2 linked regions of the Lonchura striata genome follow. The protein of the gene in region 1 interacts with the protein of each later gene in a pairwise test. Links are inferred from orthologs where the notes say so. Each region holds a gene or a part of one and is shown in the gene's direction. Other genes may lie near its edges.

Region 1 (6,871 bases):
TTATGAACAACCAAAATCTTCAACCTTACACTCCGTAGTCTGTGAAACTTCCCTTTAAAGTCTCAGCCTGATTCTTTGAACTGCTTAGTGGTAGGAAAGAGTCATTTTTAGCTCAAGAAATTGGTACCTAGACAGGGCCTCTTTGGTGAGGTGTTCCAGCAGCTCATGTTCATCTCCAAGTTTACAGTAGGAGAGATCCAAACACGTCAGCTCCCGGAAAGACTTAATTTCTTCAAGCTTTTCAGAGATAACCAGGTACCTGCAAAGCCAAAAAAAAAAAAAAAAAAAAAAGCCCTCAGTGCTCAGGCATGTAAGTCCACATCCCCAAGTGCCATAAGCACAATGCACTCGTTTCTGCCAAGTACCTATGCGAAAATTGACAGAAATTACCCAGCTGCACTAAGTACCTCTTTATGTGCAGCTGGCACACAAGTCTGAATTCCCAGTCTTCTCCTTAAATCACTGTCATGGTTTAGATTTGATTCAACTTGTAAATATTGCTGTTAGGAGCTTCTTTACAGATTATTGCTGTATTATTTCAGAATAATGCAAAATGTCTCAGTTTATAGTCAGTTTCACAAACTGCTCTTCCTAGGAAAGGTACAGACAAACCCACATTCATCCAGGTTTAAAATCCACCTCAAACATGGATTTTAAACAGGACAGGATAGCCTTTCAGTAGCAAAATTTTAGTTTTTATATATGTCAATAAAATGCTTGAGTAGAGGTAGAAGTCCAGGACTGGCCAGAGCTGAGGCAGCAGTTACTCTGGGTTTTTTTTCAGCTGTGCTGGTTCCCTGGTGTGATTCACTCAGCAGCCACGCAAACATCTGTGCTGGAGCTATTCAGTAGGAGGTTCAGAGATGGGAACAAACCACTGAAGAATGGCAGGCATGAGTATGCAGTAATGAGCACGTAGCCCTCAGTACCTCCCCTGCAGTCACCTCTTGCTGTCCCTGTGGCAAGACAAGCTCCAAATTCACTGATACCTCCTGAATTTACCTTGTATTCCCCATGGCAAGACACACCCTGAGGTCAGCATCTTCACTGCATATACTGGGGGTGATTATTAACCTGATCCCTCCAAGAACACCTCTTTGTCCATGCAAACAAGAGGACCTTAATATCATCCCAGTGTAATTGTACCCCTCAAACCACCCCACTCAAACCCCTTGCCTGTGCAATTTGGCTCTGCAAAAAGCACAATAAACAGAGCATAAGCCAGTTCTCGAGAGAGATTATTAGCTCAGGGGGGTTCTGGAGAGTGGGCTCTTAGAAATAAAATTCATCAGAAAATGCCTTAATGCCTTACTTCCTGGATTTCAAAGACTTGATGCTTAACTCAGCTTTCTGTAATGGCAAAAGATGCCAGAAGTAGCTTAATTTCTAAATTAAGCCCATAAAATTATCTGTGCTAGAGATAAAAAGGGAGAAGGTTTAAAGGATAAAACAAAGGATAATTGACTTCTACTCAAACATTCCCACTGTGCTCAGAACACCCTTGGTACTTCAGATGAATATGCCAGTACTTTGATTTTAAACTGGATAAACCATCCCTTTTTCAAGTGTAGAGATGGAAGAGAAGGGTTCTATTACTGGGAAAGACTTCAGTAGGAGCAAGGCTTTAAAAACATAATCCAGTTTTAAACTTGGCAAGACTCTTTCAGTTAAAGATGTGGGCACTGAGAAGATGGAAAAACTAGTGCCGAACTGTAATCAGGACCTCGTTAAAGTACAGCCAATATGGGGTGGTAACAAGGTAAAATCTGCTTGATTTTAAAGCCTGCAACTTACCAACAAGTCTGTATCTTCTTCTGAGCCCTCAAAATGAGACATATCAGAAAGCTTATAGTTAGTAAACCTGAACAATTTGCAGGGGTGTATTTTATCTGTACAGTCAGCTAAGTGTGTTGAAAAGCTTTTAAACAGCAATTAAAGAGACATCCCATGAAATACCTGAGAAGGCACTCAGCACACGGATTTCCACAGAAGTTATTATTATTGTTAAAAATAGTTGCAGGTTTAATCTTCCATATAAGATCCCCTGTTGGTTAAAGCAGAGGCAGTCTGTTACCTCTGTTATGATTTGTATCTTAAAATGAAACCTACAGCTTCACTTGTAGGAAAGGGATGGGATAAAAGCACAAGAATCAGATAGTGCTCAGGGCATTTAATTAATGTTACGTGGTGTTGTAAGGCTAAAATGTATTTTTATTTAATTTAATTTAGGGGAAGTTTGAAGTGTGCTAGCAGAAGACAAGATTTGTTAGGGGACACACTTACCTGTTCCGCAAGCACAGTGAGCACAGCACCAAACTGCCATAGGCTTCAGTGAATTTCTGCAGAGCTCTCAGTCCTGTCACTGGCTCTGTGAACTTTTGTCTTGCTTCTGCTGCTGAAAAGAGCTTTTCAGCAATCTGCTCTGGGAAACCAATCAACGAGTCAATGTGATCTACATTGTCAGAAATGTAACCCAGCACTAGGCTGAAGAGGGACTTGGCCGAGTAGCGGAGGTTCCCCTCCTTGGTGTAGGTGAAGATGAAATGATCAGTCCTCTGCCTCCTTGCCCTATCATCCTCCCTGTTCATGCAAAGCTCCACTGAAAAAGTTCTGGAAAACAGACTGAAAGGTCTTGCTTTGGGAGTGACATTCTGTACGCTGCCTGCACCCCGATTTACCACATGCAGCTTCCCATTTTCACGCACGTATATTGGCCCAGTATCCAAATGGCTTTCTGAGTGGAGACAGTACGACATTCCCCTCGACCAGCTCTGTAAAAACAAATCACAGACAAGTGAAGAACAGCCACAGTCAAAAACATGACCTAGGGAAGCCCCCAAAGCTGGCAGCTCCCCTTAGAGCCCTGAGCATGGCCACGTAGCAAGGAGGGCAGGCTGTGTGGAGCAGGGGCGTGAGCTGCCTGCCACCAAACCACCCACCCCATCCGAGTGGGAGCTGGACCCCGGGCTGGCTGAGACCCCCGGGATAGATCCCAGGCCCGGGATGGAGACAGGGGCAGCGGGAGAGGGGTTGAGTGGGAAGTGCCCGCACAACCAGGCCTGGTTCTCCTGCAGGCAGGAGAAGGAGGAAGAGGAGGGCACATGTCTGACTGCAGCTGGGCAATGGAGCCTGCTGGAACCTCCCTCCCGGGGAGGGTGGGCATCTCCCGGCGCCCCTTCCCCGGTGCCGGGGGGCTCTGGCTGGCGAGCGGGTCTGGGGGGGGCAGGAGAGCTCAGACCTGCCCTGGCGAGGGGCAGGGCAGGGACAGGATCCTCTCGCCTCCCGGCCGGCGGGGCTGGCGAGCGGGCCCTGCCCCAGGGGGGCCGGGGGTACCGGGACGGATGGGGAGCCGGGTGCGAAGGGATGGGGTCCAACCCGGAGAGGAGCTGGGAAGGGTCTGCGAAGGGATCGGGCTGTGCCCGGGGCTGAGCGCGCCGTGAGCGGGCACTGCCCCGAGGGGCACCGGGGGAAGGGCACCGGGGGAACGGGCACCGGGGGAACGGGCACAGGGGAAGGGCACCGGGGGAAGGGCACCGGGGGAACGGGCACCGGGGGAAGGGGCACAGGGGGAAGGGGCACGGGGGGAAGGGCACCGGGGGAACGGGCACCGGGGGAAGGGGCACAGGGGGAAGGGGCACCGGGGGATGGGGCACCGGGGGAAGAGCACCGGGGGAAGGGCACAGGGGGAAGGGGCACCGGGGGAAGAGCACCGGGGGAACGGGCACAGGGGGAAGGGCACAGGGGGAAGGGGCACCGGGGGAAGGGCGCCGGGGGAAGGGTCCCCACCCCGCCCCTCTCCGCCCGGGCAGGGAGGCCAGAATCCCGCTGGTTCCCCGATCCCCCCGGCCGCCACCTACCTGCCCCGGGAGGGGCCGCGCCGTCAGCCAGGCCGGGGCTCGGCGCTCCCGCCCCGCGGCGCCCGCGGGCGGCGGGCGGGGCCGCGCGGGCGGCGGGCGGGGCGCAGCGGGGCCCGGGGCAGCGGGGCCCCGCCCGGCCAGCGGCGGGCCCGGCTCCCCGCGGCGGCCGCGGCCGCAGGGGAGGAGCCGCCGCGGTTGCCCGGGAGCGGCAGCGCCGCGGCGGGCGATGGGAGCCGCCGACTGGTGCCGGAGCTCGGCGGGGGCCGCGCTGGTCCTGGCCACGTCCAGCGATGCCGAGCACCCCGCCGAGAGCGTGGCGGACGGGTGAGGGCGGCGGGGGCGGCGGGAGCGGAGCCCGCCGGGCGCGGCCCTCGCCCTCCCGCTGGAGCCGCCGCACGGTGGGAGAGCTCGGCGCCCGCCGCCGTCGCAATCCTGTGCGGGGCCGCCCCAGAGAGCGGCCCCGTCCTTGTACAGGGCCCTGCTGAAAGCACCCCAAATAAAAATGCATCCCCCTTCCTTTCCCCCCTCTTTCCCCTATTCCTTTTCGTCCCTCTCCTTCCCTTCCTCGCTCTCCCCCTGTTTTTCCACCCTTTTCCACCCTTCTTCCCCTCCGCTTTTCCCCTTCCTTTCCACTCCATGTTTTTCTGTGGTATATTTCATTCAAGATGGTTATAGATGGAAAGCTTCAGTTGAGGATTTTGTTCTGTTCTCTCTACAGAAGTTCCAAAACATTTTGGACGACTACGGGCATGTTCCCACAGGAACTGATTATTGGATTTCCCAAATGTGTAAAAATCAGCAAAGTCGCCATCCAGTGTTATTTGGGTAAGACTTTGTGTCTTGCCATAGGAAATATGTGCTATATTAAAATGCGTGTCTGTGCCTTAAAAGTTCCCACAGTAGTGTCATAGTCGGTATGTAGCCACTTTTAAGAGATTTGTAAACATTTAATTTACATAAAGATTTAATTTTGCATAAAGATTCATTTTCATAAAGCAATTGTCCTTTGTATCCACAATCCCCATAGCGTAGAGAAAAAAAAAATTAGTTAATGCTCTGAAAGTGTTTTGTGGTTGTAAAGTGATGGAATAGATATCAGTGTCAATAAAGAATCAGAACTTGTGTTGATATTTTGAATTGATATATATTTTAGTGCGGACCTTAAGGATTGAAAGAAGCACATCTAAGGACCCTGTGGGTTTTGAACAATGTGTTGAAAAAGGTAAGACTGAGTTTGTGGGCTTTTTGGGGGGCAATGTTTTTTTCAGTGAATCACTGTAACCCCTCATCTATTTGTTGAGTAAAGTGTGGGGTGATGATTATTTTATTAGACATTAATGTAACAGTCACATTTAAGTGAATTTTTTAACTGCTGGTCTCTGCAGCAGTTCAGAGAGTAAACTGCTGTATAAGGGCTAAAAGTGCTACTTGTGCACTTTATGTTCCAAAAATTAAAAACAGGCTTACATAGTATAATAGAGTGCCATTTCCTGGATTGTTTGGCTTGGGGATTGGCTTTTTTTAGTGCCTCTTGGGTGACTTTGTTATAACACTGTAATGAGTGGGATGTATATATACATACACAGACTGGGATACTGCAAAAATGTATTCTCTTAAATCACCTGTAAAAATAAAAAAGAACAATGTCTATATGTAGCGTAAATTCATTGTCCTTGAACTCACTTGAACTCTGAGTCCAGTGAAAACTTCACTGCATTGCACATTGTTCTTCATTGTTTACCTTAAAATATATTTTGTAGATTTGCAGCACAGAGAAGGACAGCTACAAATGGAAGAATTTACAGTGAGTATTTGCAGTGTACATCAGTAGTGGTTCATGAAATGGCATGTCTGGATTGAGTGGGGAGAAACCATAAAGAAACCAAATGTGTCTCTATTTACAATTATTGCTCAGTTGGTGTTAAAGGGAGGAGTTTGTAGATTGTGGTGTGAAATTGCACTTCCCAGCTGCTCCTCTGTAGATTATGCTATGAAATTGTACCTGCCTAGTGCTCCTAATGAGGTGCAAGGGCCCTTTCCAGAAATGTGGCAATTTCCTCTCCTTCAGTTGCTGCCTTTAAGGCTACAGAATTCAGGAGGTGATGGGATTTTTTTGAGTTGCAGGTCAAAGAACTTGATTTATGTGCAGTTCAAGAAGGAACCCTGAAGTACCCAGATCCTCGTGTTTAACAAACTTTTGCAAATGTGCTTTGGTGGTTTTGTTACTACAGAGGATGCAATGACATTTTATTCCTTCTGCAGCTTCCTGAGTTCCAAGCCACTTACTTGCGCTTCATCATCAAATCTGGCTTTGATCACTTTGTGTCAGTGCACCGGGTGATGGCAGAGGGCACAGCAGAGAACACTTGAGCCCAGCTTAAGTTTGGGCCCCCACTTTATTTTTTTATAAGGAAGTTAAATTTCAATACCTGCACTGCAGAGAATGTTTATTATTAGAACCTTGTATTAAAGTGGTTTTGGAAGGTATGGATGTGGTATATATTCCTTGCTGGTTTAATGTATGGAATAGGATAGAAGAATACAGATAATAAGATCATCAAGTCCAACCACAACACAGTGCAGTTGTTAATTGTAGTAACAGCTTTTTCATTTTGTAACCTAAACTGTCAGCCTGGAACACCTGAGCGTAACTGAGTCCATTTAAGGTAGTGTATTTGTATCAGGTTTACATAATACATTAACTAAAACTTAATTTCCTGTAAAATATTTCCCTTGCACTCTGAGTTAAATAGGAAAAAAAGTTTGAGCTACTTAAGTGGGATGTATTACTTCCACTGTCAAACAAGTTCTTCAGAAGTCCTTAAGTTGCTAACTCTCTGATCAGCTCAAACTCAGAGATTGTTAGAATGAATATAAATGTCTGCTAATGCTTAGAAATAACCTGGGGGAGAGAGGCAGGGAAGGAATGGAAATAATCAGAATCCAAATGAAGTGTTTTTATAGGCTTTTAATAATTATACATCAGTCCCTTGTTTCTATAAATATTCTCTAGA
Region 2 (7,118 bases), on another chromosome or scaffold:
CGTTCTGGCTCCCTGATCAACAGCCTGCTAGCTACTGGGTTGGAGGGTATTATTAAAAATTAAATAAAGATTTCAGGGTTTCTTCCTGGCGTATTTTCAAGCTTCCATGTGCATGAACAAGAAAATAAAGATTCGAGCTGGAATTTTTCCAGACATTTGCAGAATAATTACTCTCCAGAAATTCTCTTTATCTTCATCCTTGTGGATTTGAATGCATCCTTGAGAAATCTTTCCTTCCTTTCATATTCATCAGAAGAGAGGACATAACAGTTACAATTAGCATACTCAAACCAAGTTGTAGAGGTACCTACCCTACATTTAGTAATTTATCACTTTCCATAGATGCCACAACTGCCATCCATTTCTAACTTCCACTGTCCCAACAGAGTAGATCAGAAACAAACGGCAGATTTGCCAGATCAGTCAGAAGGGCTGTTGTAACTGCCAACAAATCCTTTGGCTGATTCAACCATTTTGTAATCATCTTACATTTCAGTGCACTGACTGTCAGCCAAAAAGCCTTCAGATCTGTGCCTCAGCCCCCACCACAAAAGAGCAAAATCTGAAGACCTGAACTATAATGGTGTTATCAACAGAGCTAGAGAAAGCATCCAAATTCTCACTTCTGTGCTAATAGCCCCACTCTGAAGAGAAATAAAAGCTGGGTTTGGGGGATGCCAAATGAAGTAGCCCTCAAAATAGATGGAGTATCTATTTATTCCACCACTTGGGGGAAGTGTAAAGAATGGAAATCTACAATAAAATTTACACATCCTTTCTTGCAGTTTTCACAGCTCTCCAGACATACCAGTAAACATTCATAGTCAATCCTATAAGAATCTATGAGGATTTAAAAAGCAGCATGAACTCGGAATATTCATTCACAAGATACTTCTGAAGCCATTTTGTCACACTGTTTCCTTTTAGTAACATAAGATTTTTAAAAGTACTTTGTATTTAAGAGATTTCTTACAGAAAGACCTACTAATTCGCTTTCCTCAACATTAATGCCCTCCTGAGAAGCACTGCTTACTCCAAAGAAATCTACAGTTCTTCCTCATAGCTTTTAACAGGCAGCACGTTCAAGTTACAGATTGTAACCTGCTCAGTTCTGAATGTTTGCATTGGTGGATGAACAACTGTGAAAACAAGTCCTAGTAATATTACTGAATTCGGCCTCAGAAAAAAATCACTTTCTAACAGGCATGTTCTGTGAAGAAGATAATGAAGTGACCTATGCAGCGCCTGACAGAATCTGGAACACCAACTATATCTCAGTCTAAAAGACTACATGACCTCAGTTTAATCCCCATTGTAGAGCCTTACCTAGTGTCTGAAGTTCCTTGCCACTCCTGCTGGAGATGCAGTTCCACCATCCCTGCCTTCAGCAGCTGGATGAAATGCAAGCCACACACGACACACAGACTGCATGTGCAGTTTGACTGCTGGTTTGTGACCACTACCTAAGGGAATGTGACTTCAAATTTCATGGTGTTGTGGCTGTCAAGGAAACTTTTCCTGCTCACATGAGAGAAGGGGCACTTCTCATTCAAAATAATTTTGTTTCATTTGAGGGAAAAATTAAATGTGTGAATGAAGAGTGCTCTATTCCTCCTTAGCTGCTAAATACAGGATTTAACCTAATAAACACTTCTCTAGGGTAAGGGCATCACCCTCTGTTGTTGGGGTTTTTCTCTTGTTTAAATCCACAGGGTTCCTCTTCCCCTTTTTCTCACGTACTCAAGACGAGAGAAGCTTCAGCGAGCACAGCTACCAGCATTCCAATTTATTCAGCAGCAACCCCTGTGGACTGCTAACAGCAGACTGCGATTCTGTTTGGATTACAAGGTGTAGATAAGTAATTCCATCCTTAATCTATCACTGTCAGTGCTGGTAGGGGAACAGAAGTCAGGCAGAGGAAAAGATAGATTGGGTAAAAAAAAATATATTGTGGGGTAAAAGGAAAAGAAATAGAGAGGATACAAATCCATTAAGAGTTCTGTGCACACATGCATGCAGCAGTAGGAAATGAGGGAATGGGATAAAGGAACAGGGTGTTAATATGAAAGCAGCAAGCAGGGAGGAGATATCCAGATTCCAAGCAAAACTTTTCAGTAGCAATGAAAGTCTCACTTCCTACATAATCTATGCCTTCCATTGCAGCGATCCCAGTGTAAAATGGCGAGGATGTTTGTGACCTCAGTAAATGCTGATGGATACCACCACACTGCAGCCACAATAAAAAAACCTCAAGTACATCATAATGGAGCCTCAAAGCCTTTGCTTGGAGACCTGTCAGTAAACTGGGGCAATATTAGAAATAGACAACAAAGGATAATGCAAAGTTTGCAAAAATGGAACGACACAGAGACAAGTGAATTTCTTGGAGGATGGAGGGGAAGGCAGAAAAGATGAAAGAGGAGGTAAGCTATTTAGACATAAGTGATGGAGAAGATCAATAGCCCACATCTGTTTTATGTGATAGAAGATTTGGGGATGGAAAACAGAGAACGTAATAATGAGACCTGGTACTGATTTTTCTTTTCCCTTTTAAATGAAGACTAGTGACTCCATCACTATATTTTACTACAAGTCATCATCTACCATTGAAGTCTGCCCACCCAGGCTAGTGAAGTCCTCCTCATGTTTTTATCACATGAACATAAATGTTCTACCCAATGTTATTTTATGGGTATATAGGAAGCTCCTTTGATTCAGCTATAAGTTCTCATTGATTTTATGCTATTTGCTTGCCTGGTTAGACATGTCACAGGCAATTTATCCCAGGAAAAGTAAAAGAGCTGCCTTCTAAGCAATCACATTAAAATAAAATGTTGACATTAAAATAAAACCTTGAAAACTTTATTTTCGACCCTTGGAATGTCCAATGTTATAACCCAAATACATATGCAGTATTGATTGTTCTGTTCTTCCCAAGCTTATGCACTGCTTTCCACAGTAAGCACATACTCTGTTCCAGAATAAACAATCCAAAGTGCAGCCAAGCAAAGTTTACACCCTAAAAAATGTATGGATTGCTATTAATGGTATGCTTTCTGGTGGCACAGATATTTCAAAGAGGTTGTAAGGAGGGGAAAACCCAGGAAGCTTCGTGGTCCCCTTTTTCAGCCCCCACTCAAAACCCACTCACTTGGACTGCTTAAGGAAGACAGAAAATCAGTTCAAAGAATAAAATAGGGCATATAAATAGTTTAATAGTAGCCAAGGGAGAGTTTAGCAGAAATATTTTTAAAATATGAAAAAACAAATAAAGCAATTAACCACTGCAGAAGGAAAGGCTGCAAATATTAACAAAGAGGGGGGGAAAAAAGAGAAAGTAGCTAAGAAATCAGCAAGCAAGAGAACTTTCTCCTTGAGTACATTAACACGGCCAAACACAAGGAAAAGTGTGCACTGGAGCAAATGCGAGCGGATCAGCTGCTGGCCCGGGCAGGGAAGAAGCGCAGCTCCACTCCCTCAGGATGAGAAGGCCTCGCAAAGCGCCTGTTCCCGCCGTGCTGACCCGGCTTTGTGGCCGACTTTGAAGCCGCCGCAGCACAACTCCGCGCCCGCAGCAGCTCCCGCAGCCGCCGGGCCCTGAGGGCAGCGGGACCCAAATGGCGGCGCCGGCGCGAGGGACGCGCAGGCCGGGCCAGGCCGCGCGCCCGCCGCGCGCATGCGCAGCAAGGCGCGCGGAGCCGCGGCGCTTCCGCACGGAACGTCGCGTTCCGCGGGCTCGCGGGCAGGAAGTGGAGGCTTCTCGCCCCGCTTGCCCGCCTTGGGGCTGCCGCAGCTCCTTGCCCGTAACTTGTGTCATTTTCTGCCGTGCGCCCAGAGGGTCCTTTCAGCCCCGTGGCGCAGGCCCTCTATGTTCTGCCCAATAACAAGCCGGCTCTCGATGACATCGTTAGTTGCCAGGCAGAACTCCCCTTCGCGTCTCCCGTGCCGCCGCGGCGCCACCGGGAGGGGCGGCGTGTTTGATTTGATTGACAGCACGCGTAGTGGGCGGGGAGAAACAAGAGAACAAATAATAACTGTGGATGGCCTTGATGAGCAGGGCCCGCAGCCAATGGGGACGGGCGGGCGGTCGCTCGGTTGCCAGGGCCGCGCGGTTGCCACGGGCTCGGCTCGGCGTGGTGGCGGCCCCCGCTGCCGCCCGCCGTGGCTGCCGCCGCCTGCCCCGGCCCGGCGCGATGGTGAAGCTCGCTGCCAAGTGCCTGCTGGCAGGTGAGTCCGGCCCGCCCGCTCCCATCCGCCCCGCTGCCCACACGGGACTAGAGCGGGCGCCGTGGGGTCGGGCGAGGCCGGCAGCGGAGGCGGCCCGGCTTCCCACAGCCGCTCGTCGAGGGGCCGCCCCGCCAGAGAAGAGGTGGGGAAAGAGGCCATGGGAGAGAAGGGAAGACCTCGGCTGCCTGGGGACGGGAGCAGTGAAGTCGTGTCCGATATTACCACTCGGTACCCGCCCCCGCCCACCACGTGGAGTCGAGCAGTGCCCAGGGAGGGTGTGAGGTGTAGTTGGATCGGCTAAAATCCAAGGATAGGATCTGAAAAAGAGGGAAAAAAACCCAAATAGAAACCAAAAGGAGTATTTCTGCATGGTGGAAAGGTGGGCGCAGAGATTGGAGAAGGCGAGAAGGGAGCAAGGTAGGCAGCTGAATCCTGCCTCATATGTGAGTCTTGCTTTGGGCTGATGTGAAAACTTCATGGCAGAAATTAGGATGATTCTGAGAGTACGATAGAAAGGTAAAGCCTAAACAAAGAGGAGAAGATTGAGCACTTCACAGTGGCATCTTTTTCTCCAAATAATTTAGAGGCTAACCTGAGAAGAAAAATGAGGTGAAGACACCACTTTATTTAGTCAGGATGGATTATGGAGGTGAGGAAAGTGAGTACAGCTGGCTGTTAACACTTTGTGAAAAAGGTTTTTATTTTTCCCCCTCCCTCTACATTGAAGCTCTGTGCAGCCTCAGCCAAAAGCACAAATCCATAAAACCTTTGTGTGCAGTCAACTCCCAGGTTTAACTATGTGTTCAAAATTATTTCATCCAGAATAAAATGTTTGCCTTTTTTAACCTCAGAAGCAGCTGGCCATCAGCTCACACAAAGACATATGTGGTCTTTGGCAAAGGCAAGAGAATTGATCTCCCTTGTGGCTCTACTGCTGTGAACAGCATGAATATCTTGCCCGTCTTCTATGCTTGAAACATAGGCATCATTTCCAATTTGGAAGTGTCCTGCTCCCAGTATACTGTCCAGTTTGGCAAAGGCCAATTCCATGACCATTTTAAAATCACATAAGTTTTCTTTGGATGACCTGTTTATGTCCTTAATCCTTATTGGGTCTGGAGCAGCCTTTTCAATTTTATTCACAGCACAAAGAACAGGAATGTCCTATCCCATATGTTATTCTTCTGTGTGCTACAATAATATCCATGTATTATTAAAAAAATAAATTAGTAAAGCAGACCAGGAAAAATAGATTCTCTGTTGCAGAAAAAATCCACTATAGTGAAAGTGACCTAAGATATGAGGAAACAAAAAAAATGCAATTACATAAATAGGAGCAAACCTATCAGAAATGAAACCGGGAGCTCTTGTAGACCTAAGGAAATGGTTATGAAGAGCCAGTGACACAAAACTGGGAGCTACACCAAGGTCAAAAAGAACGGGAAAAGAGCTCTTATTAGCAAAACAGAGATTATTGAATTGACAATAGAAGATAATTCCTGTGTTATCTCAAGGGTCATTTACAGGCATAAAATAAAAAGAATTGTTGTCTAAGCTTACTATGGAGACACTACACAAAGGTTTTCATTGTAGAGAGACAGCTGGCAGTAGCAGGCATTTTTGAAGGATTCTAGAGATTCTGGCAGAATAACAGAAATATGGATAGAATATATACTGTGAGATGCACTACTGGCACAAGAGACTAAACTGAAAAGGGCAAGGAAACTTACTCTGAGGAAGTGTACTGGTGTGATGGGCTAAAGAGGATGACAAAGAATAAAAAGAGGGAAAGAACACCTGGGGCTGTCAAGTGAAAGAAAGGCAACACATTAATTAAGAATTTGTGCTGGCTGATGCCTGCACAGTTTGGAGCAATGTGTGCCTCTCTATGTCATTTTACAAAGACAGATCTAATTGTCTATTGAAATACAGAATAGCTTCCACTCAGAACAGAGTGTTGTCTTCCGCACAGGCTTGAACTGATCAGAGAACAAGCAAGCTGACTTACCAGATTTTCCTGTCTAAATATTATGAGCCCAACTCAGCTCAAAGTAAGCAAGCATGCTAAAAATGTTTAAATAAAAACTACTTTGGTTAATGCATCTAGGGGTAATTGTCACTATCCAAAACACCCTTCCTTCTCTGTAATAGTATGTGAGCAGAGAGCTTTACCAATTTCCTTCAAAACACCATTAAGAAGCTGTAATGGAGTCAAAAATACACCCATTAACAACTTAATGTAAAATACTTCCTTTCTGGCTTTATTTATTAACAACATAATGTGAAAGACTTGTATTCCAGGCTTGGCTGTTATGAGTATACCTTTGAGGGTAAAGCTTGAACCACTGAGGTATTTAATTACTGGTTCCTGTCCTTTTAACTATCCAAGCTAGTGAGACATTATGTGGAGAAATTATAAGGTCTTCGGAAGCATTAAGTCTTTGTTTAGAAAAGGTTATGATTTATGATCTTTTTCATGTAGTAATATGGGCATATGTAAGTTCTGCAGAGCCTGAGGAAATGGCCTGAAGTTGTGTCAGAGGAGGTTTAGGTTGGATGTTAGAAAAAGGTTCTTCACCCAGAGGATGACTGGGCTCTGTAATAGCTCCCCAGGGAAGTGGTCACAGCACCAAGCCCGACAGAGTTCAAGAAGCGTTTGGGCAATATTCTTGGGAATGGTCCTGTGCAGGGCCATGAGTTGGACCCAGTGATCCTTGTAGGTCCCCTCTAACTCAGCATATTCTGTTCTGTGATCCTGTGATTGCTTTGGATCTCACAGAGTTTTGTAAGAGCAGGCCAAAGCAGGGAGCTGTCAGGTTTGCCTGAAGTGTTGTGCAAGCCATTTCAGAAAACCTTGGCTCTAGAAGAGCAAAAACCAAATCCCCTTGCTT

The links.
Region 2: the proteins of IFT25 (region 1) and IFT27 interact in binary tests that used the Homo sapiens proteins (3 or more experiments, as listed by UniProt). The two-hybrid records come from large-scale screens. The link is inferred for Lonchura striata from reciprocal best matches to the Homo sapiens genes IFT25 and IFT27.

The regions. Positions count from the first base shown.
Region 1 is NC_134611.1:8,997,838-9,004,708, forward strand, and holds IFT25 (intraflagellar transport protein 25 homolog), read left to right. Parts: upstream 1-4,026; 5' UTR 4,027-4,083; coding exon 4,084-4,181; intron 4,182-4,575; coding exon 4,576-4,682; intron 4,683-5,010; coding exon 5,011-5,079; intron 5,080-5,617; coding exon 5,618-5,661; intron 5,662-6,119; coding exon 6,120-6,227; 3' UTR 6,228-6,344; downstream 6,345-6,871. Other genes in the region: LRRC42 (leucine-rich repeat-containing protein 42), read right to left, coding at 128-259, 2,284-2,756. UniProt on the Homo sapiens protein: Component of the IFT complex B required for sonic hedgehog/SHH signaling.
Region 2 is NC_134607.1:22,988,188-22,995,305, reverse strand, and holds the start of IFT27 (intraflagellar transport protein 27 homolog), read left to right. Parts: upstream 1-4,113; 5' UTR 4,114-4,193; coding exon 4,194-4,227; intron 4,228-7,118. UniProt on the Homo sapiens protein: Small GTPase-like component of the intraflagellar transport (IFT) complex B that promotes the exit of the BBSome complex from cilia via its interaction with ARL6. Not involved in entry of the BBSome complex into cilium. Prevents aggregation of GTP-free ARL6.